Linked DNA regions of Cricetulus griseus. The protein of the gene in region 1 purifies or fractionates together with the protein of each later gene. This does not show direct contact. Links are inferred from orthologs where the notes say so. Each region holds a gene or a part of one and is shown in the gene's direction. Other genes may lie near its edges.

The links.
Region 2: the proteins of Pus10 (region 1) and Abitram purify together in Homo sapiens (affinity purification with mass spectrometry; 3 studies listed by BioGRID and IntAct, counting the BioPlex papers as one, with this or other methods). This does not show direct contact. The link is inferred for Cricetulus griseus from reciprocal best matches to the Homo sapiens genes PUS10 and ABITRAM.

What each region holds. Positions count from the first base shown.
Region 1 is NW_023276807.1:83,095,948-83,111,098, reverse strand, and holds part of Pus10 (tRNA pseudouridine synthase Pus10), read left to right. Parts: intron 1-2,080; 5' UTR 2,081-2,095; coding exon 2,096-2,221; intron 2,222-6,603; coding exon 6,604-6,852; intron 6,853-7,353; coding exon 7,354-7,440; intron 7,441-15,151. UniProt on the Homo sapiens protein: Protein with different functions depending on its subcellular location: involved in miRNA processing in the nucleus and acts as a tRNA pseudouridylate synthase in the cytoplasm.
Region 2 is NC_048595.1:87,074,132-87,089,866, reverse strand, and holds Abitram (protein Abitram), read left to right. Parts: upstream 1-2,449; 5' UTR 2,450-2,479; coding exon 2,480-2,594; intron 2,595-3,865; coding exon 3,866-3,917; intron 3,918-4,359; coding exon 4,360-4,489; intron 4,490-5,751; coding exon 5,752-5,828; intron 5,829-5,924; coding exon 5,925-5,994; intron 5,995-6,080; coding exon 6,081-6,215; 3' UTR 6,216-6,702; downstream 6,703-15,735. Other genes in the region: Ctnnal1 (alpha-catulin), read right to left, coding at 11,764-11,823, 11,951-12,034, 12,565-12,678, 13,249-13,305, 15,187-15,235. UniProt on the Homo sapiens protein: Actin-binding protein that regulates actin polymerization, filopodia dynamics and increases the branching of proximal dendrites of developing neurons.

The sequences.
Region 1 (15,151 bases):
TGGGTGCCAAAAAAGGTGTGGCTGGAATCCTGTTGGTTTGTTAGCCAGGCGGAGAGAGTGGGAAGTTTCTACAACCTTAGCAAAGAGAGTTAAGGGCTCTGAGCATTTCCCATGCCTCTCCTCTTAACCCACGCCTGAGCATGTGGTAGTGCAGTTAAAAAGAACTTGTGTGAAACTCAGACTATTTCAGGGTTGTTTTTCCCCCGGTGCTTTATTCTTTGTTCCCTTTTCTATTATTTTTTTCTTTTGTTATTAAAAAAAAGTCTTTCCTATTTGATGAGACTGGACCAATTACATGACCGGTGAGGAAGGGAGTCAGTCCCTGTAGAGATTTTTGACTCCTGGGAGGGGCTTCTGTTGCAACTTTTCAGTTCATTCTGTAAAAGAAACAGCAAAAGTCATAACAGTGGAAATTTAGTGTGAGGGGTATTTCTCAGGCCTTGTTTTCCAAGATAAGTTCAATTTCGGATCACAACTCATCTCTTATCACAATATCCTACCATCTGATCACATCGAGATGAAATAACCATCTTTAAGGTGTATGTATGTTTAATGTTAATGCTCGAGGAGTCACTGGAGTATTGCTGGGTGAGGATGGTTCTGAGTCCTTTTACAGCTTCTTACTTTGATTATTAACACACTCGCGACGGTTTTGTTTTAGTTGTTTGAGATTTCATCCTATCACTCAGGTCAGGAAGTGTGGCAATTCTCAACAGGTTTGGGAACTTTGCAGAGCCTGGAGATTGTGATTGTTATTTATTGGCTTTGCACGATACCTTTATACTAGTGAACTATGGAGAAATAGCATTCAGTCTTTAAGCCAAAAGGAAGAGCCTAAATTTGAACGTTGTTAAGTTTATCCAGAGGTAAGGTTTCACTGTGAAGTGACCTTTTAAAGAGCTTATTGATTTTTTTTTTTTGAGGAAGGTGAGTTACAGGTTAATTGTGTATTGAACCTAATGCTTGATGTTAATTAGCACTAAAGTTTCTCTGTAGGTGGACTTTTCTGTCCAGCCAGCCTTCTCCCAAATAACCACACAGAGACTTATTATTAACTATAAATGCTCAGCTGATAGCTTAGGCTTGTTTTTTAGTTAGCTCTTATAACTTAAATTAACCCATTTCTATTAATCTGTTATTATTGACATTATTTATTATATCATTTTATTATTATATATTATACTAATCTGTTATTATTATTAATTATAAATGCTCAGCTGATAGCTTAGGCTTGTTTTAGCTAGCTCTTGTAACTTAAACTAACCTATTTCTACTAATCTGTATGCTGCCTCAAGGCTCATTTACCTTATGTACCGTACTTCCTATCTTTCTGTCCTCCAACTCTGCCCTTTTTCTCCCCAGCATTCTCTCTAACTCGAGAATCCTGCCTACCCATCAGCCAATCATTTTTTTATTAACAATGAGAGCAACACATCTCACAATGTACGAAAGGATTATTCCACAGAATTTTTTTTCTGTTAGGGGATTCTCCCTCCCCCCTCTTCTCTCCTTACCTTTCCTCTCCCCTCTCTCTTTCTCTGTTTCTCCCTTTCTCTCCAAACCCTCACTCTGTAGACCAGGCTGGCTTTAACTCCCCATTAAGCCCAGGTTGGTCTTGAACTCAGCCTCTTGTGTACTGAAATTACAAGTGTGAGCCACCACACCTGGCAAGAGGATGCATTTTATGTAATTCTTTTCAGTCTTTACTTGACATTAAAGCAGCAGGTTAAGTGAGCTGGTAGAAGTGATTCAGATACTGAAATAAATACTTGACCACACAGAATTTTGTGATTTTTTTTTTTTAAAGCACTTTCTTGAAGGTTTACACAGGCAACTGTGAGTGGTCCCCAGGCTTGGTGTCTGAAAGGTCTTACTATCATGTCCAGAATGAGCTTGGCTTTCTGTGTTCTTCTCCCCTACAACTCACATAGTCAAGTTTGTAGTTTAGAATATAAATACAACAAGCATTGTTGCAGAGTATTAATAGAATTTTTTAGAATGAAAGCTAGTTTTTCTTCTTAAGGGCATATTTGTAGCAGTAAAATACTGAAACTGCTCGTTTTGTCTTTCTTCCTTCTAGCTATAATTTCTCAGTATGTTTCCACTGACTGAAGAAAACAAGCATGTGGCCCGGTTGTTGTTCAGTTCTGGTACCTGTCCGAGATGTATCTTCAGATTCTGTGGTGTGGATCTTCATGGACCTTACAAACGCCCATCCAAGGTATTTTCTTTTTAAATTAAGGAATGTCTTTTTATAGTTATAATGAATGACACTAGCTTTGGGTATAGTGGTCGAAAGAAGGAAAATTAATAAAACTATTCTTACTAAGGTAATTTTGGAACTGCAGTTACCTTAAACATTTGATGTAGTAATACAGTTGTTTTTTATTACATTGCCATTTAATAGTTAGTGTAGAGCGGGATCTTTGCTGGAATTTTTTGCTATATTCATTATTTGTATAGACATTTTATAAAGGTCATATAAACAAAATAACACAAGATAATGAATGGGTCTTACCTGACATTAATGCTGTGCAACAGGAGGGGGCAGGTCATAGTCCTGGTTGCTTCTTTTAAATAGAAAATGAGTTTGGTTCCTTTTTTTAAATTAAATTTTATATTATTTTTATGAGTATGTGCATATATATGAGTATGGTGTATATGTGCACGCCAGTGTGTGTGTGTGTGCGTGTGTGTATGTCTGCTTGCTCACACAGATGTTTATGTGGAAGTTAGTTCTCTCCTTCCACCAAAGACCTTGGGAAATCAAGCAGGTTAGTAGGCTTGTGTGCCAAGTGCTTTTACGCAACAGGCCGTGTTGCTTGTCTTGGTTATTTCCCTTGCCATGCATTAGCATTTATGTGTATATGTTCATATGTATTCTTCTGGTGCTGGGCATTGAACCCAGTTCTTCACATGTGCCAGTGAATCATGGCACTGATCCATGTCCCCAGCCTACCACTTGTTTCATTCAGTGAAGAGGATATGTTCTGATAATGTGTCCTTTGATGACTTTATGCTTGTTTGAACCTCATGGAGTATACTTAAATGAAGATGCAGTGTACCAGGCAGTGTAATCTAGGGCCCACCATCCACAACCTGCAGCCTGCATCGTCAGGAATATTGTTTGATAGCTGGCTGTGTCAGAAAGCCTTTAAAAGTAAGTGCTTAGCGTAATCATTATTCCTGATACTAGCAACACAAGAACCTTTCAGAATTTTCCACATTTACATTAACACATAGAGAGCTGTGCTGTTGAATAGATTATCTTCACATTAAAGTATAGGATATGCCTGTGACATATGGTTGATACTAACAGTGACATTCTTTTCAAAGGCAAATAATTGTATACATGTGTAAATATATACATTTATACACACATCCTCAATTTATTTTAAAAATTGGTAATAAATGATGCAGCAATTACTATTGTTTTCTATATCATTGTGTTGTTTCTACTATGTTAGAAATAACAATCGTTCCTAGTGTTTGTCTAGTGTGTTACTACATGTCAAGATTTCATTTAATCTTCTGTAAGTACATGCAGTGATTATCTCTATTTTCAGATGAAGCGACTGAAGCATAGAGAAGTTAAGCAGCCTGCCCAAAGTTAAACAGCTATTAAATGAGCAAGCTAGGAATTGAACACTGTGTCTGAATCCAGAGCCTAGGACTGGAGCTAGAAGACGTGAATTGACTCTCAGTTCCACCACTGCACAGCTTCAGTTTACTTGTTTGTACATGGGAATGGTGATAAGATCTTCTTCACAAGGTTTTAAGGACATGATCTGTTTAGTATGTGAAAGTAAAAGCAAATGGAAACCAGACGTGTCACATATGTAGTGAAAGTTGCTATGTGTGTAAATGCTCAGCTTATGTCCAGCTTTGTGTAGTCTTCCTTATATACTTTTTCCACACATGCCACACTATATATATATATGTACTGGATTCAAAATACATTTTGGAGAGAGAGAGAGAGAGAGAGAAAGAGAGAGAGAGAGAGAGAGAGAGAGGCTGATTGCTGGCAACTTTGACTTGTAATATTCTTTGTGAATAAATATAAACAAAATATTTGAAGGCTTTTTTGAAATGTTTTAACTTTTGTTTTGTTCCAGTCACATAGCTGTACATGAGCACACACATGTACATACTATGTTATACTCATCTTACAGATGTTAGGTAGTAGTCAACACTCGTGTGGGTCATAATATACCTGTATGTGTGAATTTTTTGTGAAAATTGGAGTGCTAATACATCAACAAAGTGAACTTAATGTTTGAATGAAAGCATTTTCTTAAGTTAGTACAGTCTAACTGAATTCAAACAGTTTATCCTACAACTGAACAGTCAAACTGGCCTGATTTGGAAAAAGTCCAAGAAAAATTCTTAGCTTTAGATGGGGGAGTAGCAGAAGTGTTGGAGTGTTTTTTAAAGGGAGGCTTGTTTTTACATTCTAATACAAGGAATTAACAGAAATTAGAGAAAAAATATAGAAGAGGGCTTAATGGATATAAATGGATTATAATTGTGGTGCTAAATTTTAGCACTGCCAAATCTATGTATTTTGGTAAACGGTCTCAAAAAGTGTCTTTACTTGCTCAACCTTTAAATGATGCGGTTTCACATTAACTAATTCACTGTGCTGTGAGGTGTTAAATAACTTAGCTTGTACTTTCCTGTGTGCGTGTATCTGTCTGTCTGTCTGTCTCTTTGTTGTTGGAGCTGGAACCCAGGGCTTCATGCACACTAAGCAGGGATTCCACCACTAAGCTGCATCTGCATCCTAGTTTATATTTTTATGTTTTAATAATTAGAATTGAATTAGTTTCTTTTTTTTTAAAAATTAGTAGCGGAATGACCTTCCCAATAGAACTACAAGCCACATTTGTAAATTTGTTGATGGAAACTTTCTGCTTAAGATTAGAGTTTTAGCTTCACTGTTTTGTGAAATTCTTTTCAAAAAACACTCACATATGTAATATATATAATTGGCATTTGATTAGTGTATGGATTAAATGCGTTAGTAATAAATTCAAAGTCACCAGGAACACATTAGTGTTGCATTAAGGACAGAAATCAAAGCTCTTCTCCTTGGTGTCATTTAACCAAGAGGGAGCCCAGATTTGAATTCTCTACTTTGTTCTCATTGTGTCTTTGTCATTCTCTGTCTCTCTCGCGTGTGAGCCAGAATTTGTACCCACCCAAAAGCTGTCTTGTAAATTTATTATCCCTATATCTGTGTCTGTCCTTGTGTATTTGTTCCTAACAAAGGGCTTTGTTCTCTTTTATTTTTTAAAATATATTTTAAATTTTATTTTTAATTGTGTGTGTGTGTGTGTGTGTGTGTGTGTGTGTGTGTGTGTGTGTGTGTGTTTGTGTGTGTGTAAATGTATGCCATGTGTGTGGGTGCCTGTGGAGGCCAGATGCATTGGATTCCCTGGGGCTGGAGTTACACAGTTGTGAGCCACCTGAAGTGGTCCTCTGGAAGAATAGTACATGTTCCTTACCACTGAACCATCTCTCTAACTACTACTTTTATTGAACAGCATAGAAATCATCACATGGAGAAGGAATGAGTAATACTTTACAGAAATACTTAACAATTTTATAAGGAGTTAATTCCAACTGACCCAGATAGCAAACACTAGCAGGTAGTAGCTGAATGTTGCTTTCAGCATTTATGGTGGACATTCATTTTATAAGGCTGTTTTTAGCTTATTTGCCATTTTTTAGCAGATGATTATCATACACATGCAAACACGTGTGCATTACTCTTAGGTCAAGGGTATGAGAGAGCACATTAGCTTATGTTATAGAGGATTACTTGGGAAAGCCAAGGCAAATGAGGTTGGTTGTTGGTTGTTCCCCTAAAAACAGGTTAAACAGATAGTCTGGCCACACAGTAGGACAGCGGTCTGAAGTGACTTCAAGGTACCCTATCAACTTTGACTGAGTTCCAACAAAAGTTTCAGTCTCTTAGAATGTTAGAAATATTTCTATCACAATGCGTCTCCACAGGTTATTTTCTCAGATTTCTTAGAAAGCCACTGCTGTAATAAACTGGTTACTCCTGAAGTGATATAAACCAATGTTGTATGAGTCTGTGCTGTTATAATCCTCTCTATACCTTGTTTTGAGACAGGGCCTCACTATGTAGCCCTGGGTGCTTGAACTCACAAGGTTCTGCTGCCATGGCCTCTAAGTGCTCTAGTGGGACCAGAGGGCTGGGACCCAGGACAGGCATTGCCAGGTGGGGCAGTATATGCCTTTAATCCCAGTGCTCAAAGGTAGGCAGATCTCTTATGTGTTACTGATGACTGAATTTATTATTAATGAATTTAATCCACATACCAATCAAATGCCTACTTTACATGTGTATGTTTTTCCAAAAGATTTTCACAAATCAGTGAAGCTAAAATCCTAATCTTAAGTAGAAAGTTTCCATCAACAATTTACAAATCTGGCTTGTAGTTCTTTTGGGAAGGTCATTCACTGTGAATTTAAAAAAAGAAGACACATATTGCCACCTGGCTGACTTTCACACTTCATCTTATGAACCTCAAAGCCATTTTAAAATGTTACTGCTTTTTCTTAACTTTTCAGGAGTTGTTCAATGATCTACAGAAATTTCTAGAAACTGAAAAAGATGAGTTAATTTTGGAGCTTCCAAACCCACCACTGAAGAAAATTCGTCTTCAAGAAGACGGAATGGATAATTTGAGTGGAAATGGAGAAGAGGGGAGCTCTGCCACAGAAGATGAAATCATTGCCTCTGAGGCTTCAGATTTGCGTGTATGCAATGTTTGCTTAGGAATCCTTCAAGAGTTCTGCGAGAAAGAGTTTGTAGCAAAGGTAAACAATCTGTCTCTCATAGATCAGAGACCGTGTTAACCTGAGAGCTAGGATTCCTATACCCACGAGTCCTAAACAGTACCATCCATTTCAACTTGGCCTATACCAGTTGATTGCTGGTCTCTTCTTAATTAGAAAAGACCAAGTATTCTGAGATTGTCATATCACATATTGTGAAATTAATAAGAGCTGTCTGACATGCAACAAACTGTTCTGAAGCTGACACTTGTGTAGGGTGAGAACTATCAAATGCTGATGTCAGGATGTCTATGAAGAGTGGTCCGCTCAAATGGATCAGTTTTGTTTGTTTGCCTTTGTTTTGGGCGGTGCTAGAGAGTGGCTTGACATGAGCTAGGCAACACAGCACTACTGAGCCTTAGCCCCCAGCTCCTAGGTGAATATTGGGGAGTTGTGCAATGTCATCTCCTGGGAGGAATTTTATGATTAGAGCTACATTTTCAGCAATGCTTGGAAGTTTACATATTTGTAATTCTCTTTTAGGTGTGTCAAAAGGTTGAAGCCTCTGGGTTTGAATTCACCAGCATGGTTTTATCGGTTTCCTTCCCACCACAGCTGTCTGTGAGAGAGGTAAGGCCATTTGCATACTTCAGAGCATGTGTGAAATATATGCTGTGCATTTCTAACTTCTAAACCAAAAACAAGCAAAATTGGGAATAGAGGCTCACACTTGTAATCTCAGCACTTGGTCTGAAAGTTGGATGGTGAGGAGTTTGAGGCCATCCTGGGCAGGCTGTGTGTACAGACCGAGGTTGCAGAAGAGTTGCATGATGGCACATGAGCAAGCATGGCCAGAAATGCCTTACACAGTTGGTTTTGAATGAATTTTTGTTCTCAATTTTTTTTTTCTTGCAACCCCTCCACCTTCAGTTATGTGACCCCAGATGTGGTTGCCATCCACAGTCTAAGAAGCTGGGTTGACAAAAATACCATTGAGCTAAAAGTACATAATTTGAGAACTTTCAAATTTTAAGTTTCTTCTCCTAGATCCTGGTTAGGGTTTCTAATGCTGTGAAGAAACATCATTACCATGGCAACTCTTAAAAGAAAACCATTTAATAGTGGTAGCTCACTTACAGTTCTAGAGGTTTAGTCCATTATCATCATGGAGGGACATGGAAGCTTACAGGCACACATGGTGCTGGAGAAGGAGCTGAGAGTCCTACATCTTGATCTGAAGGCAGCAGAAGCAACCGTGTCACTGAGAGTAGCTTGAGCACAGGAAACCTCAAAGCTTACCCCCTTAGTGACACACTTCCTCCAACAAAGCCACATCTACTCCAAGGCCACACCTCCTTATAGAGCCACTCCCTATGGAAGTCATTTTCTTTCAAACCACAATGTTCTTAAACTTTTTAACATGCATAAGATTTATTTATAGCTAGGCATAGTGGCTTCTGTTCCTAATCCCAGTATTCAGGAGGCGGAGATAGAAGGGTTGTCAGGAATTTGAGCCCAACCTGGTGGATTTTCCAAGAACTATTCCACAGATTTATATGTATTCAGTCAGGTGAGGTCTAGGAATTTGCATTGTAACCATATTCACTGGTGCTATTGTTACAAAGACTACAGCTTGAAAAATTAATACTCTTAATTTTTTTTTACATTTTACATTTTTTAGTGTGTGTGTGTACATTTTTTAGTGTGTGTGTGTGTGTGTGTGTGTGTGTGTGTGTGTATACAGGTGTAGAAGTCAAGACAACTTGCAGTAATTGATTTTGTCTTTCTGTCATGTGGGTCTTAGGTATTGAACTCAACAGGTGCCTTTACCTGCTGAACCATCTTGCCAGCTCAAAATTAAGAATTAAGAAAAAAAAAAGAATTATGTTCTTGAGAGGTGGGGAGAAGGACATGGGATATACATTTTGGATAGGTGAATTTCAAACAATGCAAGAAAAAACTGGCATAAGCATCTGGGCTAAAAGATAAGTTATAAATCTTAGGAAGTTCAGAGAAAGCAAAAATTCAGATTTTAATCCAAACCAAACTATTCTAATCAATAAAAGAAAGTTTAGAGAAAAATCCCCATAAAGAATTGGGAAGCTAAGTATGGTAATTTATGCCTGTAAATGCATCACTTGGGAAGCTGAGGCAGGGTGGCTGCTATGAGCTTGAGGCCAGACTGGACAACATGGGAAAAGTATGCCTCAAGAAATAGTAACTTAGAAAGAGTAAAAATGAGAAATGAGGTGTATGCCTGAGACTAGGGGATCAGGAATTCGTCTTAGGTTATATAGTAAGATCCTGTTGAGAGGTAGAGGAGGGAGAAGAGGCATTTTTTTTTCTTTTATGAAACTAAAGAAAAATATTGTGAGTAGCTTGATTGCTCAAACTGAACAATCAAGTTTTATTTTGCAAAGTTGAGATCAGTTACAAAAAAACCAAAACAAAACAAAAAACCAAAAATGACAGAGTCACATTAATGCAGATTTAAGGAGGAGGCTTCGATCTGTTAGAATAGCAACCAGAAAACTGGCCCATCCAGTGAATGAAGCTTGCAAGAATTGCTAAGGGAGATCTGTGTAGGTCAGGGGATAGGGGACAGGCCTGTTTGGAAGGCTCATACACTGCAGATGGATGGTGGAGAGAAAGCCGAGTTCTAAAACCCCTACTTTGCTTCTGGCCTTTCTGTCAGGGAAATGTGATCTTTCTCAAAAGCAAGAAGTTGAATGATCATTTTAGGGAAAATGAAGGCTGCACAAAGTGAAGCTTTCCTAAGTGTGTTCAAGCATTCTGGCTTAATAAATTGCATTTCAAGATAGATTTAAAGCAGCCTGCAGCCACCCGTGATCCTCTGGGATTCTAGAAGGCGGCTCTTCCCAAGCGGTTGCAGACAAAGTGAATAATTCTGAAAATGAACAGCTGGTGAGCTTATTGCAAACCTCGGTAAGATTCTGGACTAGGAGCTCCAGGGGTGAACTGTGGGCACTAAGCCGGAGCAAGAACAACACAGAACAAGGTAGAACATGGTGGCAGCAGTACCTGCTGGCTGATGGACCACTCTTCTTTCTCATAACTTCCTAAAAGTGGCTGGAAAACAGGCAGGGCCTAGATGTGATTGGCTGGACTATCTGTATCCAAAAGAAGCTGAATGAATGACTTGTGCTAAGGTGGGCAGTGCTCCTAAGCATGGCCCGAAGGTCAGCCACATACCACTCCACTCAGGAAAGACGTTGAGAATAATTGCTGGGCCTTAACTTTCTCTCCTCCCAAATCCTAATCTCCAAAGGTAAGATGAGGAAGCCCTTTGCTGACACCTGCACCTGGGAACACAAGTGTCACTGAGGTTCAGGGAGAGTCTCGATGTGCATCAGGACTCTTTCCCACTCTCTCTGAATGGTTTCTTGTAGTGAAGGTGTGGTGAGAACCCTCACTGTGAGCTACATGGCACAGGGCTGAGAGTGCAGCCCACATGCTGAATGTTATAGTTACCTCACAAAAGCTTATGAACAAGAGCAGTCAAAAAAGAGGAGATAATAAGAATAAATATGGGTTCTTATGATTGAGTTTAAATGCAACTGCCAACTAAAGGAATGACTTACATGTTGACAGAGACATCTCAGGAATGTAGGTGAGAACTGGTTAAAGAGACAATGAGCTAATTGGATGATACAAAGTGGGATACAATGTAGATAATGTTTGGATCTTAGCCCAACTGTGATGAAAAGGGGACAGTTGTGTTTGCTTAATGCTCCTGTTCTTAGATTTCTGCTTGAGAAGAAACAAAGATGGGTTTATGGCTGGTCCATATTCAGAAGGTAGACTCAGGATGGAGGTAATTCTCATCCCAAAAGATTTAGAGAGGATAAGTTTTCTAACACGGATTAAACCGAGGGCCCGTGACCACCTGGCAGGTATGAAGAAGGAAAGAAAAGCCTTTTTTCAGCTATATTAATACTGTTGCATTACCTCTCCTGGTAAATCTACATCTTTTCAGTTCAGATAAAAAGGCAATGATTAATGATTCCAGCCAGTGAGCTTGGTGAGCCAGGAAGTTTACTGGGATTACTTATAGGTGACTCAGGCAGCTGTGTCTGAAAAGGCTACCTCAGCAAGAATGGTGACTCATGAAAGCTGCATCATGGAGTCCCTATACAACCTGCACCCAGCTGAGTGTCTCTTGTCTTCCTGAACTTGTTTGCTGTTTATCTGGTCTCTCCTGGGGAACCTCATGAGTCTTGTAACTTTTGTGAGCTTCCTGAGTGTTGTTAGTTTACTGTTTCTTTTCCTCTTTTTCTTTCTTCCTTTTCTTTTCTTTCTTTTTGGTTTTTCGAGACAGGGTTTCTCTGTAGCTTTGGAACCTGTTGTATAGTGTATGTCACAGGGGTGTGTGTGTGTGTGTGTGTGTGTGTGTGTGTGTGTGTGTGTGTGTGTGTGTGTGTCCTATGTCACAGGTGTGATGTGCCTGTGGAAGTCAGGACAGCTTGCAGGAGTCAGTTCTTTCCTTAAAATGCAAGTCCTAGAGCTCAAGTATTGTTGTTAGGCTTGAACATGAGCCTCAAAAGTGTCTGTCCCTTTTGTGAGAGAATGTTTCAATCTAGAGGAAATGGCTACACAATAGTCTCCTCTTCCTGCTGGCTTTTACACCCTCTGCCCCATCCTCTATGATGTTCCCAGGCCTTGGTGGGGAGGAACAATGTAAATGTGTGATTATTGTTCTGTTTTTCTGGCTGAGCCTTGGGTCACATTGCCACAGCAGTAGACAATTATTCTCAGACATTTGACTATTGAGTTGCTGCAATAACCATCTTCCAAAAGAGAAATTTCCTTTCATTATTGAGGCTGAGTGCAGCAGCAGTCTTTGGGTATAAACACAAATGTTTGGAAATCAGTTGATACCTCACATCTGTTTAATGAAACAGTAACAACTCCCCATTGTAGCCTGTGACCTCAATAACAAGTGTTTGTCTTGGTCCTGCAGCACTGTATAGGGTTCCTTCCTGTGATGTGAGCCTTAATCCCCCGGATTTTTGCTGCTGCTGTTGTCCTGCATTCATGGTTGGCTTCTGCACACCATTAGCACTACACTGAAGTTGCTAATGGAAGAATGCCCCAGAGTAGTGTCAGGCTAAACTTGTCTTGCTAATTCTTTGAGGTTTATCTTTACCAGTTGAGTCCAGCAGAGGGCGGTATTATACCACCAGTTTGGTTCATTTCCCATTGCTCACCCTAGTGACCTGGTTAAATGAATTATGCTGTCTCATAAATGTTATTCTGATCATATGAAACACCCTGCTTCTCAATATGCAGTATGGTACAGTTGGAGTTTTGTTTTTCATATCAAAATATTCTATTTCTTTTCTTCATGCTTTGCACTAAATACCAATTCTGTAGCAGCACTTTTTTACTTAAGAAATTATCTTTTCTTAAAATTTTATAAATGAATTTTTTTTTGAGACAGGGTTTCTCTGTGTAGCTTTGGAGCCTATCCTGGCACTCACTCTGGAGACCAGGCTGGCCTCAAACTCACAGAGATCCGCCTGCCTCTGCCTCCCGAGTGCTGGGACTAAAGGCGTGGGCCAGCCAACACCTGGCTGAATATCTTTTAAAGTTGGCTTTACTTAAATTTGTGGGTTCCTTATTATGTTGGACCCATTGGTCTCATTTAGGATCTGAAGAAAAATTTGAAACCCTTTGTCCTAAGAATGCACAGACTCACCTGGCATAGTGCAATTCACAAGAATCACTGAGAAGGCTGACAGGATTGTGAGGCCAGTACTTTCTAGGGTGATGTAGTGATGCCCTATATTAAATCAAAGAAAGGGAAAAGAGAATGCATACTCAGTTTTGTGTATATTTACAGATCTAGGACTTTTCTGAGTTGGATTCTTCAATAAAACTTTCCCCTTTGCAAATGTCCATACTTATTCTAAAGGACAGTGGTTTTCCTAATTATGTTTAGTTCATAGTTCCAACTTCAAACATAGAGAACCAATCATTTAAGATTGTAATGTGTGTGTGGGCTTGAATTGACTGTCTTCTGACTCAGCAGTTAGATTTTTTCTTTCTCTCCATTTTCCATGCTTTTTCAACTTATAATTTGTATGGCAGACATCCCTTCTAGACATATGACACACCCAAGGTCCATTTTAGTTTGCAGCTCTTTCAGAGCTCAGAAAGGCAGTTTACAGTTGGTTTTAGCATCAGTGACTCTACTTTTGGTTCAGTTAATTGGTTAGAACTTACTTCGATCTCTGCAAGATCTGTGGTCCAGGGATTTAAAGTTCACAGGCTGCAGTGTGTGTGTGTGTGTAGAGCCAGAGGTCAACCTTGGAGTTCTTCAGGAGCACGAGACAAGGTGTCTGACTGACCTGGGCTGGGCTTTGCCAGTTTGGCTAAGCTGGCTGGCTGGCCAGAGCTCCTGGAATCCATCTGTCACCGCTGCATGCCAGCATTACATGGGGATCAAAATCAAGTCCTTAGCTTTGGTAGTGGTGAGCACTTGACTGACGGCCACTTTCGCACAGCTGTGAGTGCACTCAGAAGCCAGAGGAGGTCTGGTGTTCCTGCCCTAGTTAGTGCCTTGAGACAGTCCTCCCATTGTATGTAAGGCTAGGGTGACAGCCTCCTGTCCTCACACCCCACAGAACTGGGATTACATATTCATATGCAGCCACAGGTGGCCTCTTAAGTAGGTACAGGAGATCTGAACTCATTCTGCCCTTGTCCACTGGACCATCTTTCCTGTCCCAGGCTACAACTTGAAAAGTCCTTCATAGCACACAAATACATTCGTGCAGCTATCCAAATCCATCTTCCTATACAATGTAATTCCAAGAGCTTGCCTCTGTAGGTATACCAACACATATAGCTTTGCACTGTTAAGAGTCATAGAGAAGCCAGGAGGGTGACTCATCAAGTTAACACCTGTCCCCATGCCCAAAGACCTGAGTTCAGTCTCTGGGACCTGCATGGAGGAAGGGAGAGAACCAGTGCTCACAGATTGTCCTTTGACCTCAACATGCACACCATGGCATGCACAAATGCCCATGTACACACATGTAGACACACACAAAATAAAATATAGTAATAGTAAAAGAGTTATGGACTTATAGGTCTTTAGGAACTTTGCTAGTCATCTAGAACAGGGCTTCTTAGCTTCTAATGGCATTTATTTTAGAAGATGTTAGTCATGTTCTGTGATTTATCTCAGACTCTCTCTCTAGGTGCACACGCATTCATACCTGTTGAGAATGTCTGGAAGAGAGTCTGTGCATTCCCCACCTTTCTGTATATGGTGATTGCCACCATTTAAAAGTTGTCACCATGTGTGTATATGTGAGCTGTGTTGGGGGAGGGAGCTCATGCCACAGCGAGTATGGGTTCCTGTGGTGATATATTGTTTATGATTTAATGAAGCCACTGAAGACCAGAAAAGCAGCGCAGCCAACTACTAGCTCTTACCTCTACCTCAGACCAAAATGGGTGATACTGTCTCCACAAGTCCTCAGAGTACAATGCAGACCGCAATCCCTGAGTTCCTGTCTCCTCCTGCTTTATATTCCTTTCTTCACCCTCCTGTCTCCACTCCCTTGTGCTGGGATTAAAGGTGTGAGCTCTGTTACTCTTTAGACTGATTCACTCTCATGTAGCTCAGGGGGCCTTGAACTCACAGAGATCCATCTGCCTCTGTCTCCTGGAGACCTGGGATTAAAGGTGTGGCCACCACTGCCTAGTTTCTATGACTAACTAGAATGGCTGCTGGAATTAAAGGTGACTCTCTATTGCTGTGGCTAACTTTTTGCATTTTGATCTCCAGTGGCTTTACTAAATCATAAATAATATATATCCACAGGTTCCAGGGATCCATCTCACTTTGCCAGGCTTACACAGCAAGCACCTTTACCTGCCAAGCCATCTAGCCAAGTTTTTTTCTAAATTAGTATTGCATTTATTAATTTATTGTGTTTGAATGTACATATGTATGTGTACATGTGTGTATGCCAAGGTATATATGTGCTGGTCAGAAGACAACTTTAGGAGTCAGTTCTCTCCTTCTACCTATGGGTCCTAAGGATTGGATTCTGGTCATCAAGCTTAGAGGTAAGTGTCTTTACCTGTTGAGCCATCTCAGTGGCCTTCTTCAAGTTTAATGTGTCTGTAATGTGTGGGTTAGCAAGAAGGTAATTTTTTCCTCATCCTTAAGGGTAGTGGCCATGTGTGTAGCCATCTCATTCCCATTTGAAGAAGAAAAACGAATGCTAATAGAGGTTATGTAACATCCCATGTCATGTTTAGTGGAATTTGAATGTTTTTCCACTCCTTTAAAAAAGTTTTTAAA
Region 2 (15,735 bases), on another chromosome or scaffold:
GTCCCATTCTCTGATACTGCCAGAGCCAGCCTCATCACTGCCATCCCTGAGGCAGGATCATTAATCAAGCATGCTACATCTCCAGACACAGAAATCTAGCCCCAGGATTCATCCTGAGTTTCTGAGCATCAATCTAAAGTCTGAGTACTAGTGTTACAGGGACTTTCTACCAAGTGGTAGAGCCTGATGATACCAACATCTGCTGGGTGGTGATCCCTAGCCACAGGGGCTACTTCCTTCAGCATGACTTCTAAATTACTTCAGCACTCCCTTCACTTTCTCTTCCTCAAATAGCTGTTTAACTAATTCTTCAGAATAAATCCTGCTGAAATACTATGTGCTCTCTACTCTTCTGATGGGACTCCAACTGATAAACACAACAAAACAATTTGAGTTTTTAAAAATCACTGAGCTCAGGTCTGGAAAGATGGCTCAGGTTAACGAGTACAGACTCTTCCAGAGGACCTGAGTTTGATTCCCAACACCTATACAGCCATCTATAATTCCAGTTCCAGGGGATCCCATGCCCCCTTCTGGCATCTATGGGCACTTCATACACATGGTACAAAGCAAGCCCATTAATCTCCCTAATGCCCCAATCCTTTTAGCATCAAAACTTACTTCTCTGAATTGTCATACCCATAATCCTCACTCAAAGGAGTGAGGATTTTTAGAGGAACACAGCCCTATGAATTTTTAGAGGAACACAGCCCTATGCATTTTTTGAGGAACACAGCCCTATGCATTCCTCAATGCTTTCAAAGTTAGAAAATGAGTATGTTCCAAGTACTTCTAGGATCATACGCTGTTAAAACTCCAACTCCCGGGCTGAAGGAATGGCTCAGCAGTTAAGAGCACTGGCTGCTCTTCCAGAGGTCCTGAGTTCAATTCCCAGCAACCACATGGTGGCAGCATCACAACCACCTGTAATGAGATCTGGTGCCCTCTTCTGGTCTGTAGGCACACATGCAGGCAGAACACTGTATATATAATAAATAAATAAATTAAAAACAAAAAACAAAAAACAAAACAAAAAAAACCCCTCCAACTCCCCTAGCTCGATGAATTCAACTTTTCCCCATCCACATATGTGCTAAGGGTCCTACGGTACAACACTGAGCATGTCCTAATATTATGATCATTGTTTCATTTTTCTCCTCCTTGCTCTTCTACCCTTCTTCAGGCTAATCATCCTGAATAGGACACATAATATGTAGCTAACTAAGAAGAAGATTAAATAAACCTGTACACATAGCTGTAACTGAACAAGTCCAAACTGAAAATCAAACTCATTATCTCCTGATGTTTTCATAAACAGGTCCTTAGAAGCACATGAAATGCAACCTGAAAAACAGAGAACCTGCTACTCTTTTACCAAAAAACAGCTCACCCTGGTTTGAAAATTACTGTCACCTGTTTCCACAAGCTAAAACTGTCTGCCTCTTTTTCACTCACTTTCACATTGAGGCATTCACTGGTTATCATCGCAGCTCTCAATATACAAACGAATCCTTTATACAATACCTACGATCCGTTATGTGACTTGCGTCACAAATTGCAAAATGTCACCCGCCCCCCCCCACCCCGCGAAGACAAAAGACTACACAATCACTGCCACCACAGAAATCACCGCTTAGGCATGCCAAGCAAGTAAGCACGGGATACACTACTCCACAGAAAAGCCTCAGATTCGATAAAGGGCCCTCAGCACGGCACTGCAGCCTCGGTTATCTATCCCCTTCCATGGCGGCCTAACCAATTCCTGATAGAGGTTTTATTTCCAAGCTGCAAGAAATCCCGCCGCAGGGGGACCCGACCCTCATCCCCGAGCTGTGCCCCAGGATGGCCTGAGGGAACAAGTGTGCAGAAAGCATCCGAAACTCGAGAGAGGCGGGCCACGCCGCCCAGCCAGCACGCACAGGCAGAAGCGCATGGATCTATCTCCCTTGCACAAGGATCGTCCTGGACAGGCAGGACCAGGCCGCGCGCAGCGGCTCGTACTGGCTCCGGCGAACGCTCACCTGAGATGCCCTCGCGGGACTACACCCTCGTCTCAGTCCGCGGCTCCGAGCTCTCACGACGCACTAGGCTTGGGACGGAACCGCCAATGTGCTCGGGAGACACAGACACGAACCACGGATGGGCCAAACCCACGGTCTAGCACAAGAAAGGCGGCGCTAGGCGTGGCGTCACCAGCTAGGCGCGTCGGCGTGACGTCATCACGTAGGCCGAGCTCACCTCTTTAGTAGCTCTCAGGAGCTTAATCTGGCAGTCCAGAAGTAGTGGGGTCGTGCTGTGTGCTGCCTGCTGTCCGTCAGCCCTCTGGCTCCCGGTTGTATTTGTCCCACTGTTGAGTGTTGGCCCCACAGTGCCTGAGACTGGGGTGGAGGCGGGTGGGGAGGAGAGAGTCTGGCGAGCTGCGCGCCTGCGCATAGAGCTACCACGCGGCAAGTACATCTTTCTGGCCTGGACCGGCAGAATGGAAGAGCTCGGGTACCCAGAGGCGGGGTTGACGGGGCCAGAGGTAGCCGTGGCTACCGAGCCCGCGGCGCCCTCCCTTGTGGATCGATACTTCACTCGCTGGTATAAAGCGGGTAAGTGCGAATGATAGTGAGCTTTGCCCTACCGCGTGGACGGGATGCCGTGGAGACTCCTGCTCCACGATGTAATCGTCCATGCTCTTCTCCGAGCTTCCTAGTTCCAGGAATACAGGTTTGCACTGTTGGAGAACTAAAATGGTCGCATCCGATGTGGGAAGCACAGTGCCATGTGTGGGTTGCTTGCAGGAAAGGACATAAGCTAAACTAAGGAACCCGGCGTTGGTCTTTCTGAGCTTACACTGCCTAGTGTTTGTGTGCCTGTGGGGATCAATCCTAGGCCGAGGCGGGAAGAAAGTTTAGGCTGGAGAGAACATTAACAGAAGTTAAGCAAGCAATATTTAGTGTTAAGATCTTATTTTCCACTTGTAGTTTCGAAGTAAGCTACCCAGGTGTTCTGTTTTTGTATGCCCAGAAAATATCGATGCCACCTTTGGGAATTCTTCTCCAACCTTCCTCTATTTTAGCCTTTTTATTTCAAGCAAACTGATGGATGGACAACACACCAACAGATAAAGACTGGGCCAAATTTAGGATAAGCAGCTCTCCTCAGGACTGAATTTTCCCCAAATGTGATTTTGCATAACTCCAAGACAGCCCTTGAGGCTGGAGAGATGGCTCAGCCTTTAAGAGCACTGACAGTTCTTCCAGAGGACCTGGATTGAATTCCCAGCATCCATATGGCAGGTTCCCACTGCCTGTAACCAGTTCCAGGGGGATACAACAGCCTCACATAGACAAATATGCAGGCAAAACACCAATGCACATAAAATAAAAATAAATAAACCATTTTTTTAAAAAAAGCCCCACCGGGCATTGGTGGCACAAGCATTTCATCCCAGCACTTGGGAGGCAAAGGAAGGAGGATCTCTCTGAATTCGAGGCCAGCCTGGTCTATAGAGCAAGTGCCAGGATAGGCAGCAAAGCTACACAGTGAAACACTGTCTCGAAAAACCAAAATAAATAAATAAAGCCCTCCAAAACAACAAAACAATGTAAGCAATGTGGTGCTTACAATAGTGTTTCTCTAATAGAAACAATTGGTATATTCGTTTTAAAGTGACAAGATGGAGGAGTTAATAACCTTACCATAGAATAAATGATTCTATCTGGATTAGGCTACTTAAGCACCCCGTAGCCTTTATTTGACTACTGTCATCAGCATGAGTCTTAGCCTCATAATGAACTATCTCCATGAACCAAAGAAGGTAATCACATGATAATAGCAGATACCAATTCAAGAACCAACAATTCATTTGTTCCTCTAGATGTCAAAGGAAAACCCAGTGAGGACCACTGTATACTACAACACTCCAACCGGTAAGCAAACCAAGAATTTAAATTATCAACACTTTCTTCTGGTGGTTACTCTTGGGCTGGATATAAGCAATTGTCTTCTGCTGTGTTGATATAGGAGTGTGATGGCAAGTACAAGTCTTGTTCAGTCATTTACTAATTTAGCCAACTTGTGCCAACCATTGAAGTGCCAAAACCTATGGAATAGGTTTGTCATGCCTTGTCTCCCACCTACCCCAGGGTTATCGTAAGACCTGTGGTACTGTTCCTTTTCCCAGGAAGGAAATTCAATCCTATTTTCTCCTGTTCCCTTATTATATTCCTCATGCTACAATTACAGTCAAGAGAAAGAAATAATAATTGGACTGAATGAAGGTCAGTTGGATAGTCATCTCTCAATGAGAATACTGTTATAGGAGGAAGTCTCCACATGCAGTAACAGAATTGCCTTTTTTCCTCCTTGTAGAATATGTGTCATCACGCTGGCAGGATCTCACCCCGTTCTTCAAAGTGGCAAAACTATTAAAAGTATTTCCTATCAGATCAGTACCAACTGTAGCAGACTTCAGAACAAAGTATCTGGGAAATTTAAGCGGGTATGTCCCTGTAGAGAGAGAGAGAGAGAGAGAGAGAGAGAGAGAGAGAGAGAGAGAGAGAGAGAAGAAGAAGAAGAAGAAGAAGAAAAGGTACTCAGGAGGTATAATGTCTATTATAGTAGATTCTGTGCTCTCATTCTTTCCTAAAGAGATAAGATGGAATATGAGCCTTTACCTGGTATCCCAGCTCTTGGGTAGCTGAGGTAGCACAATCGGAAGAATGAGCTCTATACTATATAGATATATAGTAAGTACCAGCTGGATAAGGCTATATAACAAAACTCCTCAAAACAAGAAAGGATCTTGGCTCCAACAGCCTATGTTCACTTTAGGAAAAGTTGGTAAAAAGAGGGCATTAAGCACTCTCATTTGCCTGCTTATAGATAGTTGTCACACCCCTGATTCACCCACCTTCCAGAGCATCTAATACAACCATATGTGCTATCAAGTAGTGTACTAAAATATGGCACAAATGGTTAAAAGGCATGTATTTAAGTTAGCTTTGTAGGGTTTATTTAAACATATTGTTTTTATTTTTATTCATGTGTATGTGTATGGGAGCCTTCAGAGGTAGAAAGAGCTTGTCAAATCCCCTAGAACTGAAGTAAAGATAGTTGTGAGCTACCAGATGTGGGTGCTGGGAACTGAACCTGGTTCTTCTTCAAGGGCAGGGAATAGTCTTAGCTTCTACGCTATCTCCCCAGCCCACTAGTTTTATCTTTTAGTTAGAAAAGTACTCCTTCAAAAAGTCTTGTGGAGTGGTTGACCCTGTAAGGAAGTTCCTTTACCTACTAATTTCTAATATAACAGATAGGGATCTTTTGGATATTTTCAGGTTTTGTTTTGAGACAGGTTCTCAACTCTATAACCCTGTCTAACCTGTATGCCACTACACCCCATAGAAGATAGGGATCTTAATGAAACTATGTAGAACATTGCTGCCATATGTTGTATTGAATTTTATCTTGTAGGTTGATTGCAATTTGATTACCGTATGGGTTGAAATCTTTATACCTGGCCATATATAGATTTCTCATTTGCAATTGAAAAATACATCATTAGCCTGTAACTAAACTACCCACTAAAAGATGGTACCTAGCACATAGTAGGTTGTTACGTTGAAGTGCATGAGTAGTTTTATGCACTTAAATCATTTTTCTATAAAACACCAGTTCTAAGACTAGATCCTGTTTTAATAGTGAGGGGTGTACCAGAGGGAAATGAAAACACAGTTAATTTGCTTCTTTTATCTCATTACCCAGGGGGCACAGTTTTTAACAGAACTCGCACCTCTGTGTAAGATTCACTGCTCTGATGGAGAAGAATATACCATATCTAGGTAAGCAGTGTTTTAGCTACCGAAACACAAATGCCCGTGTTCACTATAGTAAAAAATTACTGGCAATTTTTTCTAAAAATTCTTTTTTAAAAATAGCTGTGTTAGAGGTCGATTGATGGAAGTGAATGAAAATATTCTTCATCAGCCGTCTCTTCTTCAAGAAAAGGTAAAGGAGAGGTGGGGAAAGCATGATGCTGTCCATGTGCCTTTTAGAGGTCAGTTGACAATACTAAATGTTCTGTTTCCCCCCAGCCCTCCACTGAAGGCTACATTGCAGTTGTATTGCCCAAATTTGAAGAAAGTAAAAGCATAACAGAAGGGTTACTAACACAGCAACAGTATGAAGAAGTCATAGTAAAAAGAAATAATCCTACAGCCACATCATGAGCCCTGAGATGGAGAGACAGCAAAGGATTCTCACCCTGCTTGGCCTCAACCGTCAGTTCACTGAAGAAAGCAAGTGTATGTGAAGTATTCCTCACACATGGCCACAGGAGAAGCCTAATCCTTCATCTAACCTAATTCCCCTCCTTTGTCTTAACATCACAAGCCTTGGTCCCCATTTGTAGTCAAGCTCTAGGATCTACTTTGCCTAGGTACTTGCTTTGGGTGTTTGCTTGCATATGTACATCAGAAAACAACTTTGAGTTTTTACCTTTTGTTAGACATGCTCTCATTGGCTTAGAACTTTGCCATGAAGTTCCAGGGAGACACCCATCACCTCTGCCTCCCATCTTGCAAGGCTAGTATTACAAGTACACACACCATACCCAGCTTTTATATGGGCCAGAAACCCCAAACTCAGGTCTTCATGTGTTCAAGGTGTATTACTTTTCAGTGTCTGTGATTGATAAAATACCATAACCAAAAGCAACTTCAACAAGTGTTTATTTGGGTTGTAGTTCTAGAATACTAGATGTCCACCCTAGTAGGAAGGAATGGTATCAAGAGCAGGACGCTGAGAGATCACATCTCCACCATACACAAAAAGCAGAAAGTAAACTGGAAGTAGGGTAAGGTTATTAACTGCCCCTAGTCATGTAATTCCCCAGCAAGACTTCTTGTACTAAAAGTTCTGCAACCTGGGGACCAACTGCTCAAATACATAAAGACTTTTTTTTTTAAATCAATCTTCATTCTTCTCATGATCCCTATAAGCCCATAGCCATGTCATGCAAAATGCAATTAATCCAATATCAAAAATCACCATAGTCATTCCTTCTCTGAAGTCCAAAGTCTCTTCTAAGACTCAATGCAGTCTCTTGTGTCCCTGAGTAAATCAAAAAACCAGTTACATACTTCCAACATACAATGGCACAGAATATGCGTTCCCATTCCAAAAGGAAGGAATGATGGGCATAGTGAGGAAATACTGAACCAAAGCAAGACAGAAACCAGCAAATTCTGCAGCTGCATGTCCACTATCTACGGGTTTGGTTTCAAAGGAATTAGTTGACTGCCCCTCCAGCATTGCTGCCTGCATCATAGATATTTTTCTGCATTGTTCTGTTCTGTGTGCAACCCTCCTTGGCAAGATGTTTCACAGCTTTGGTATGTCCAGTGTCTTTGGGCCTGCACTACAACCCAGCTCCATGTGTCCTCTCATGGCCTTCTTGCAGAAACTCCATCTCTACCATATGCTGCTTGGCCTCTAGCTTCCTGAAGCAAAGAAGGAAGAATCCAGAATCCGTTCATTCTTTTATGCCTCCAAAGCTAATATCATGAGGAAAATACTTGATCATATCCACAGCAGCTCTTGTGTTATGTTGTTTCTAGGAGCAAACAGCCAGTATATTAGGCTGTCTTTCATAGATTGGAGGTTTATCTGGGTGGAGTCTTGCCTTAGCCAGCTGTCCCACTGTTCTAGTGTAGAGCAGACTTCTCTTTTTTTTTCCTTAAATATATGTGTATATATATGCATGCATGCATGCTCTATCTGGATATATGCCTGAATTCCAGAAGAGGGCATCAGATCCCATTATAGATAGTTGTGAGCCACCAAGTGGTAACACAAAAAAACACAATCAGTGACCCAGAGACAGATATGAGAGTTCAGCCTAAAGATCAGGGAAGCAAAGCAGCCAAGCTGCCAGAAAGCTCTTACCTCTAAAAGGGCTGAGGCGTTCCTATTCTCAATGTGGATGGAGAATGAATGCCTTATACTAACACCTTGCTCTTGTCTTATATACCTCCCTAATGCTGGGAATAAAGGCATGTGATCCCAGGTGCTGAGATCATCTTTGTGAGAGCTGTTTCTCTTTAGGAATGGATCAGTCTTGCATAGATCTAGGTGACCTTGGATTCACAGAGATCAGTCTACCTCTTAATCCTGAGTGTGTACTACCACCTCCTAGCTTCTGACTGCTAGGATTAAAGGTATGTGCCTGGCTTCTATGGTGTGTGGCTGACTTTGCTTCCTGAATCCTCAGGCAGGCTTTAATAAATCATAAATAATATTTCACCACACTAAGCGGTTGCCAGGAATTGAACTCAGTACCTTTGGAAGAGCCACCCATGCTCTTAGCCACTGAGCCATCTCTGCAGCCCTAGAGCAGGCTTCTTAATAGCACTAATCTCTGGTAATGACAGTCTTTCCCAGCACATGACTTCCTTGTGCTCTTTTCTCCATGTTGCACATTTTGTATTTTTGCTAGACATGTTCATTTTGTTTTTTCTTTTTCTTTCCCTTTTTATGTTGTCTTGACACAGGGTTTCTCTGTGTAGCTTTGGAGCCTGTCCTGGAACTCCTTCTGTAGACCAGGCTGGCCTCAAACTCACAGAGATCGGCCTGCCTCTGCCTCCCAAGTGCTGGGATTAAAGGCGTGTGCCTCAGCCACCTAGCTTGACATGCTCATTTCATTGGTCAAAGTTACACTATCTTAAATATCTATTGCCAGAGAAAGTAGTCCATTACTTAAATTCAGCTTCATGTCAGTTCTCAGGACTTGGGTAAAAAGTAACCAGATTCTTTGTCAAAGGGTAACAAAACTGGCATCTAGCCACTTTGCTTTGTTTCTCTCCAAAACCTAGGAGCCAGGCCTCTACTTAGGTTCAGAACAGAAAATCTTGTTTCACAATGCTCTCATTATTCAACCATTTTTCTGGCCCAGAGTTCCAGTCTTCCAAATTCTTCCAAAAAACAACATGGTCACATTTTTTTCACAGCAACAACCTCACGTCTTGGTACCAAAGTCTCTATTAATTACCTGTCTGTTGCTGTGATAAAACACCATGACCAAAGCAACTTAAGAGGTTTTCTTGGCTTGTGGTTCCAGGGGGTTAGATGTCCATGGCAGCAGGCACAAGGAGCTGAGATCAGACCACCACACACTGGAGGCACAGTGAAGTGGGAATGGATCAAGGTTATAAACTCAAAGCCTGCCCCCAGTGACATGTTTCATCCAGCAAGTCTCTACATCCTAAAGTTTGTAACAGCCCCCTACAATGCCACCAGCTAGGGACCAAGGGTTCTGAATACATGAGACCATGGGGAACATTTCTCCTTCAATCTACAACAGGAGGCACACACAAATGGCAAACAAGGAATATTTTTCTGATTAAAAACACAAGCTCTTGAGAAATATTTTGAAAAGTTTTGCATTCCTATAACCTGGGAGTAAGTAGTACCTATTAACATAGCTCCTGCTTGAATGCTATGGTACACTTACTTCTTCTGCCTCAACTTTTTTTTAATGTGTTTTCCCACATGTATGCATGTGCAGTATGTTTGTGTAATGCCTGTAGATGCCAAAAGAAGACATCAGACTCCTTGGAATTGAAATTACAGATGGTTTGTGAGCCACCATGTAGGTGCTAGGAAGTGAACCCAGGTCCCCTGGAAAGGCAGCCAATGCTATTAATCTGTAAGCCATCTCCAGCCCCTTGCCTTAATTATTTTTTAATAATTAAGTCCAGCCCTGTCCCTTCTGCTGTGGCTTTTCCCCTCTAGGTTGCTGGAGAAACAGGAATGTGGAGTCTGCCTTCTATTCTACATGGAAATGCTTTGAAAATGTACAAGGCTCTTCTAAGAAATGGAAGAATTATGCTGCAGTGTGGAGCTGGCTCCTGCTAATGCATAGTGGTGACTCTATCGTGCACGTTTTATTGACAGCTAGTTTGTAGTAATGAAGGTATGTCAGTCTGTCATGCGGAGGCATAGATGTCTTAGCACAGAGCAAGGGTTTTACATTATCTAATTAGAAAAAAAAAAACAGCTATGAAGTTCTGGTTTTAGATTAAACATTTACACTGAATTTAAAACAAAAAGACCTTAAATCATGAAACTTTGTAAAGGGCGCAACATGTAGTAACTGTCAGTCATTTCCCTGTTTTTAATGAAATAATTGTAAGTACAGCCAAGCAGAGTTTATTGAAAAGAAAGAAGTAGCTCCCTGTAACCTGGAGGGGATTAAAACTAAATTTCCTTTAAATAAAGTAGTTTTATACAGATGAAAGCCTGATTTGTAAGTTCTGTCCTCTTGTCTGTTGACATCATTTTACCCTGTTTCCTCACCACCACCCCCAGGAGCCTAATTATACTTTCGGGTGTGTAAAGGTATTCTGTAAATATTTATAAGGAAATTTTCAAAAATATTTTTTTAGTTCACAAGAGAAAGTTCTTATAACCTGAGTGACAGTGTCGGTGATGGGATGAAAATTAAGCACACAGCAACAGAGCCTCACTTAGAGTGGCAGAAAAATTCTCAGAGACTCATGCTGAGAGTCCATATCTGTTGCAAAGTTGTATCTTTCTTCACTATTTTTATTACAAGTTAAAAGAATGTTTTGTTTCACAGACTAAAAACCATGCTAGACACAAAATGGTAAGGTTGCAAGGGCACTTTTAATTTTATTACTGATCAGTATGTTCTCACCTCAATGGATCAAAATTAAACCAGTTGGTATGAATTCAGTTACTGTACATAATTTTTATTGAAGTGTACATTGCCATGTTTAATACTAATTAATAAGCCTTATTTTGTTGACCAAAATAATGACATTGTTACCACATACCTGGTGGCCCTTAACAGTTTTATTGAGGGATCTGCTTTATTGCTAAAATATTTCCACCGAAATCCAGTAAAGTTAGCATCCTGCTTCTCAGTTTAAAAAGTAGTCAGAATTTTCACTTGTATAAGTTGGTAACAATCTTATTTCACAGGAGATGGTTCCATTCAATCATGCCCTATAACAGCCATCTGCAAGATTACTCCACTGCTTTAGAATGAATGCTTGTGTTGACATCTGCAATGGTAGCTAAAGAAATACTTAGCATTCCAGCCACTATCCAGGACTATGTGGTCAGCTATGCATACTACAGCTAGAATAAAAAGCCATTTCCTCTTCTGACTTTGCTCCAGGATTCTTTGGAGTGACTTCTGTTATTTTTCCTTTCTGGAGCATGCAAGGGACAGATGTAGCCTAATAACCTTACTAGGTGAAATGCTTGTTAGAAGCAACAGTGCTAGGAAGGCTGTGACCAAGCATTTGAGGGACCCTTAGCCTGCATCAACAAGAATTGAAGAAGAGTCCACAGGTCTAAGAAAAACTCTGCATTCAACCAGGCCACTTTTTATTTTCTGCTGAAATTAGTGTTGTAGATAATCAGCTTAAATAAAAGAGTTAGGGTGCCAAAAGGGAGTATGCATTCACGGTTGCGTCTTTGGGATTCAGCTGTCGTTAAGACAGTTGAGATATTTGGTGTGTGCTGAGGAACATTCTGAACAGTGTCTACTTTAAAATTGCACTGCCATTAGAATCTTAGCAACTGCCACAGCAATGACTGTGGTTAAGCTCTCTAATCTGAGGGGAAAAAAAGAGAGATTTCAGCATTCTCTTTAGAAAACAGATGAATTTCTGAAAGAACAAAGGATCAATTGCTTTTTTAAAAGGTCAGCTGTGCCACATGATATTCCAGAGATGAACTGCAGGCTGCTCAGGTTTTACCATCCATGATATCTTTTTTCGTCACTGAGACCCACCTGTTACTTTCCACCTGGAGGAAAGGGTTAAGACAATTAGCTTGAGCTGTGCTCTGAGAACAAACTACAAAGTATTAGTGCACACACTGTTGTTTTCCATTAAGTTAGTAAGAAAAGGTTGAATACAAAAAACCATCTCACCTTCTTCAGTAACTTATAGCAAAGTGACAGGAGCTGGACCACGAGAGCCATCATGGATCTTATCTTTGTAATACACTTGTCAACCTGTGGTTACAAAGCATGCATGTCATTCTAAAAACAGTACTTCAAAAATGTTACCTATTTGGTTTTACAGTGGTGAAGTTTCTCCGTCATGGAAATCTAAGAGATCTTGAAAGGTGTAGATCAGGGTACTTTGAGGCTCCAGAACACAGCACTGACTACTTGATTTCGTGCCTATTTCATGGAACCCCAGGAAAGAGGGTTTTACTTAAGCTATGATGAACATCTCAAAACACTCTACACACTGACAGTGCACCCCCTACTTGGCAATTCTTAACACTCTGCCCAAACTCCTGAGGCAAAAACAACCAGTTAAGGACTCGGAGGTAGCTGCTCAGTGCTAGGAACTAGTCTGCAGTCTGAAATCTAATTTTGGTGACTGCCCCCCCAGGTCAGTCACAGAGCTGCTGCTTTTAGACAAGCATGAAACAGGCTTTCTGTGCACTTAGCACAAAGGGCTGGAACTAACCTGATAAGGAGATGGACGTGAAATGTTCTCAAGTGTTTCCCCAAAAACCCACCCTCTGCTTTACCTTGAGGAACACTTTATTCTGCAAAGACGTCTTAGTTATTGTCTGGAGCTGGTGGCATAGAGGAATTAGCTTGTTTATTTCCAGGAGAAGCATAAGTTTGTCATCATCTTTTAGCTGAAATGTAATTTAGGAAGTTATTGCAACCACAACAAAACTCCATCTTTTATACTTTTTTACCCTTTTAGATAGCATCTCACATGTAGCCCTGGCTGATCTGGTACTCACTATGTAGACCAGGCTGGCCTCAAACACATAGAGACCCACCACTGTCTTCATCTTTTGAGTGTTAAACCATACCTAACCTACCTCTCTCTTTTTTCCTTAGTGCTTGATTTTTTAAATACAAAACTAAGATCATGAAACAGTATTTGTTTGATAATGATGTATAATTTCCACAAATCATAAATATTTGTCATATTTTGTCTTTTGTGGTACTGCAGATAGAACCCAGGACTTTGTGCATACTAGACAAGGTCTCCCACTGGGTTAGATCCATCCCCACAAGGAATATTTATAATCACACAAAAATGTACACAATATAACAGAGTAACAAAAATGGAATAACATAACAGAATGTTCTCTGAATTTGTGCCTAGCCTAGATCTTATGTACCTTTGTGTTAGTAATAGGATTCCAGTGTTAGTATGTGAAATCACTAGCCCCGGACAGGTAGACATGCATTACCTGTTTTGAAAATGACTGTACATTTGAAGTAAGTTTTAATCCCTCTGCAGCAAAACCCTGGTAGAGAAGGAAAACAGCAATGAGATCAGTGTCTTCTGGATGGCTGGTAAATAAATATGCCCAATTATCTCACAGAGTTAGAAAATAACCCAGACATTAAGATTAGCCCCAGAGCTCCTAACTTTTTTATTGTACCATGGGAAACACCAGGGTTTAGCTGAAATCAGAAATTTTCCCAGAGCTAATCAAAATCCTCCGAGAGGCTCCTCTATACATAGAGACATCCAGTTATTCTGCAGAGCTACACAGACCTGGGACCCGCAGCCACACAATTAACAATTCCTTTCTGAAGGGATCCCTGAACCATTTCATAAGATCTCCAGTTACAGAGGGGAGTCATTTTTCTTCAGGGTGCAGCCCCTGGTCACTTGTCATAACCTCACACCTGTACACATGCTAGCAACCCCAATTAAATAGTGAGTTTAAAAAAAAAAGATGAGAGTAGGGAGGACATGACCTGAGAAGAAGGAAAGCAAGTTCCTGAGGGCGAGGAAAGAGGGTAAGAGAAAGGAATGCAGGGGGGAGAGTAAGATCAAAATGCATTGTGTACGTGTAGAAAGAAAATGGTGAAAAAATAAGCCTTTTTTTTTTTTTTTTTTGAATCCTCAAGTATAAGAGTCATGAATCCTGGAGAATGAGGTCAGGTTAGAATTCTGCTGCTTCCACCTATCCATAACCAAATTTGCTTCCAGACACTGGCTATCTGAGAGGACCAATCCAGACTGTTAGATTTTGTTCAAATTTTCAGATTTTGTTTGTTCACCTTGCATTTTACAATTAAGAGAACAGGACTAGGGAGAGGAGCTAAAACCTAGGCCAGACAAGTTTGAGTAATAGTCAGGGCACATTAAAATGAAGAACACATGAGACACTTTAAAACTTCGCCTCAGGGGCTGCAGAGATGGCTCGGCTGGAAAGAGCACTTGCTATCCTTTCAGTTCCCAGCACCGAGCTACCCACAACCACCTGTCATTTCAGCTCTGGGAAACCTGACACCCTCTTCTGGCCTCTGAGGACAGCTGCACAGTGGCATTCAGACACATTTGTGCACACATGCACTCATGTACAAGTGCATACAAATAACAATAATAAACCTTTTTACAATGCTACCATAGCAGTAAGGGATGAGGGCAGATGTACCTGACAACAGTAATAAGGCAAAGATCAGAATAATTTAGGAAGAAAAATAGTCCTGGTAGTTAACTAGGTAAAGAATATGGAAAGAGAAAGGGTGAACTTTGACCTTCTAGTCACCAGCTTACTACCTTGCCATTGCTGGTTAACATGATTTCAAGGTGAAATAGCTCCCTTTGCACTTTTTCCAGCCCTGGAAGGGGAACCAGCAGCTTTCTGTTAGCTTCGGTGGGCACTGAATGATTTACTTCCCTACATCCCTCATTATTCCACACTCTCACAGTTCTCACAACGCTGCTGTGTCTGTCTCACTGAGTGTCACAGTTGTAAAAGCACATTAAAGCCAAGAACTCCCCAAACTCTGTCCAACCTGACATTGACCTTTGCCTTCAACATGATGCTTGATTTCCTGCTTCTCAGCCCTGAGTGGACTCCCCAGCATCACACTTGAAAACAAAAGAACAGTAAGGTTCTGCAGAGATGCCATGCCTGCCACCACTTCACTGTGGCTCAGCACCACCTCTGCACGGCCTCCTGAATCTTTCCTGTGCATCTGGTATCACCGCCATTGCACTCGTTCCGCCTGTGAAATGTTCTCACCCCACATACCCTTCCAACTCTCCCTTCAATAGCGAGCCTACTCAGAAGGCACCTTAGAGAAGTCTTTCCAAGCACCCCCACCACCTTTCTCTCTTTATCCTACATGATCTTATCTCTCTGAGTACTTGGGAAAACAAAACATACCTCTAGAAAGTGAATTAAGTCGTGCGACGTTTTCAGTGGCCCCTCTCCTCTAAAATAGAAGTTATTAGAAGACAAATATTACCTGTACATTGGTTTATGTAACATTTATGTTTTAGAGCATTCTGTATATTAGCAGAATTCAATTTTTTAAAGGAAAACATGAACACACTGATAATATTGTGACTTTTTCTTGAAATAACTATTATTTACTAAGTTAAAATTATATATGTTAATTTCATAACATAAAAAAAACTGAAAGTGGACAGTTAATTAGTGCTCTTTGTCCTTTTTATTTTGCTTCATGAATAAATACATGATATCTGGTAATATGTCTGAACCAAAATACATTTCTTATGCAATCAAAAGAGCAGACCAAAAGCCACTAAGTCCACAGGTCAAATGTCAGCCCTGGCAGGAACTCATCTACAGCTTCAATGAAGCATATATAAAATTCCAGTTCTAGATATAGAAAATAATCATAGTACAACTTGTGTTGACAAGTTTTATCAAGGAGTTTAAAAGCTACCAGTAATTAAGAACAATGAACAA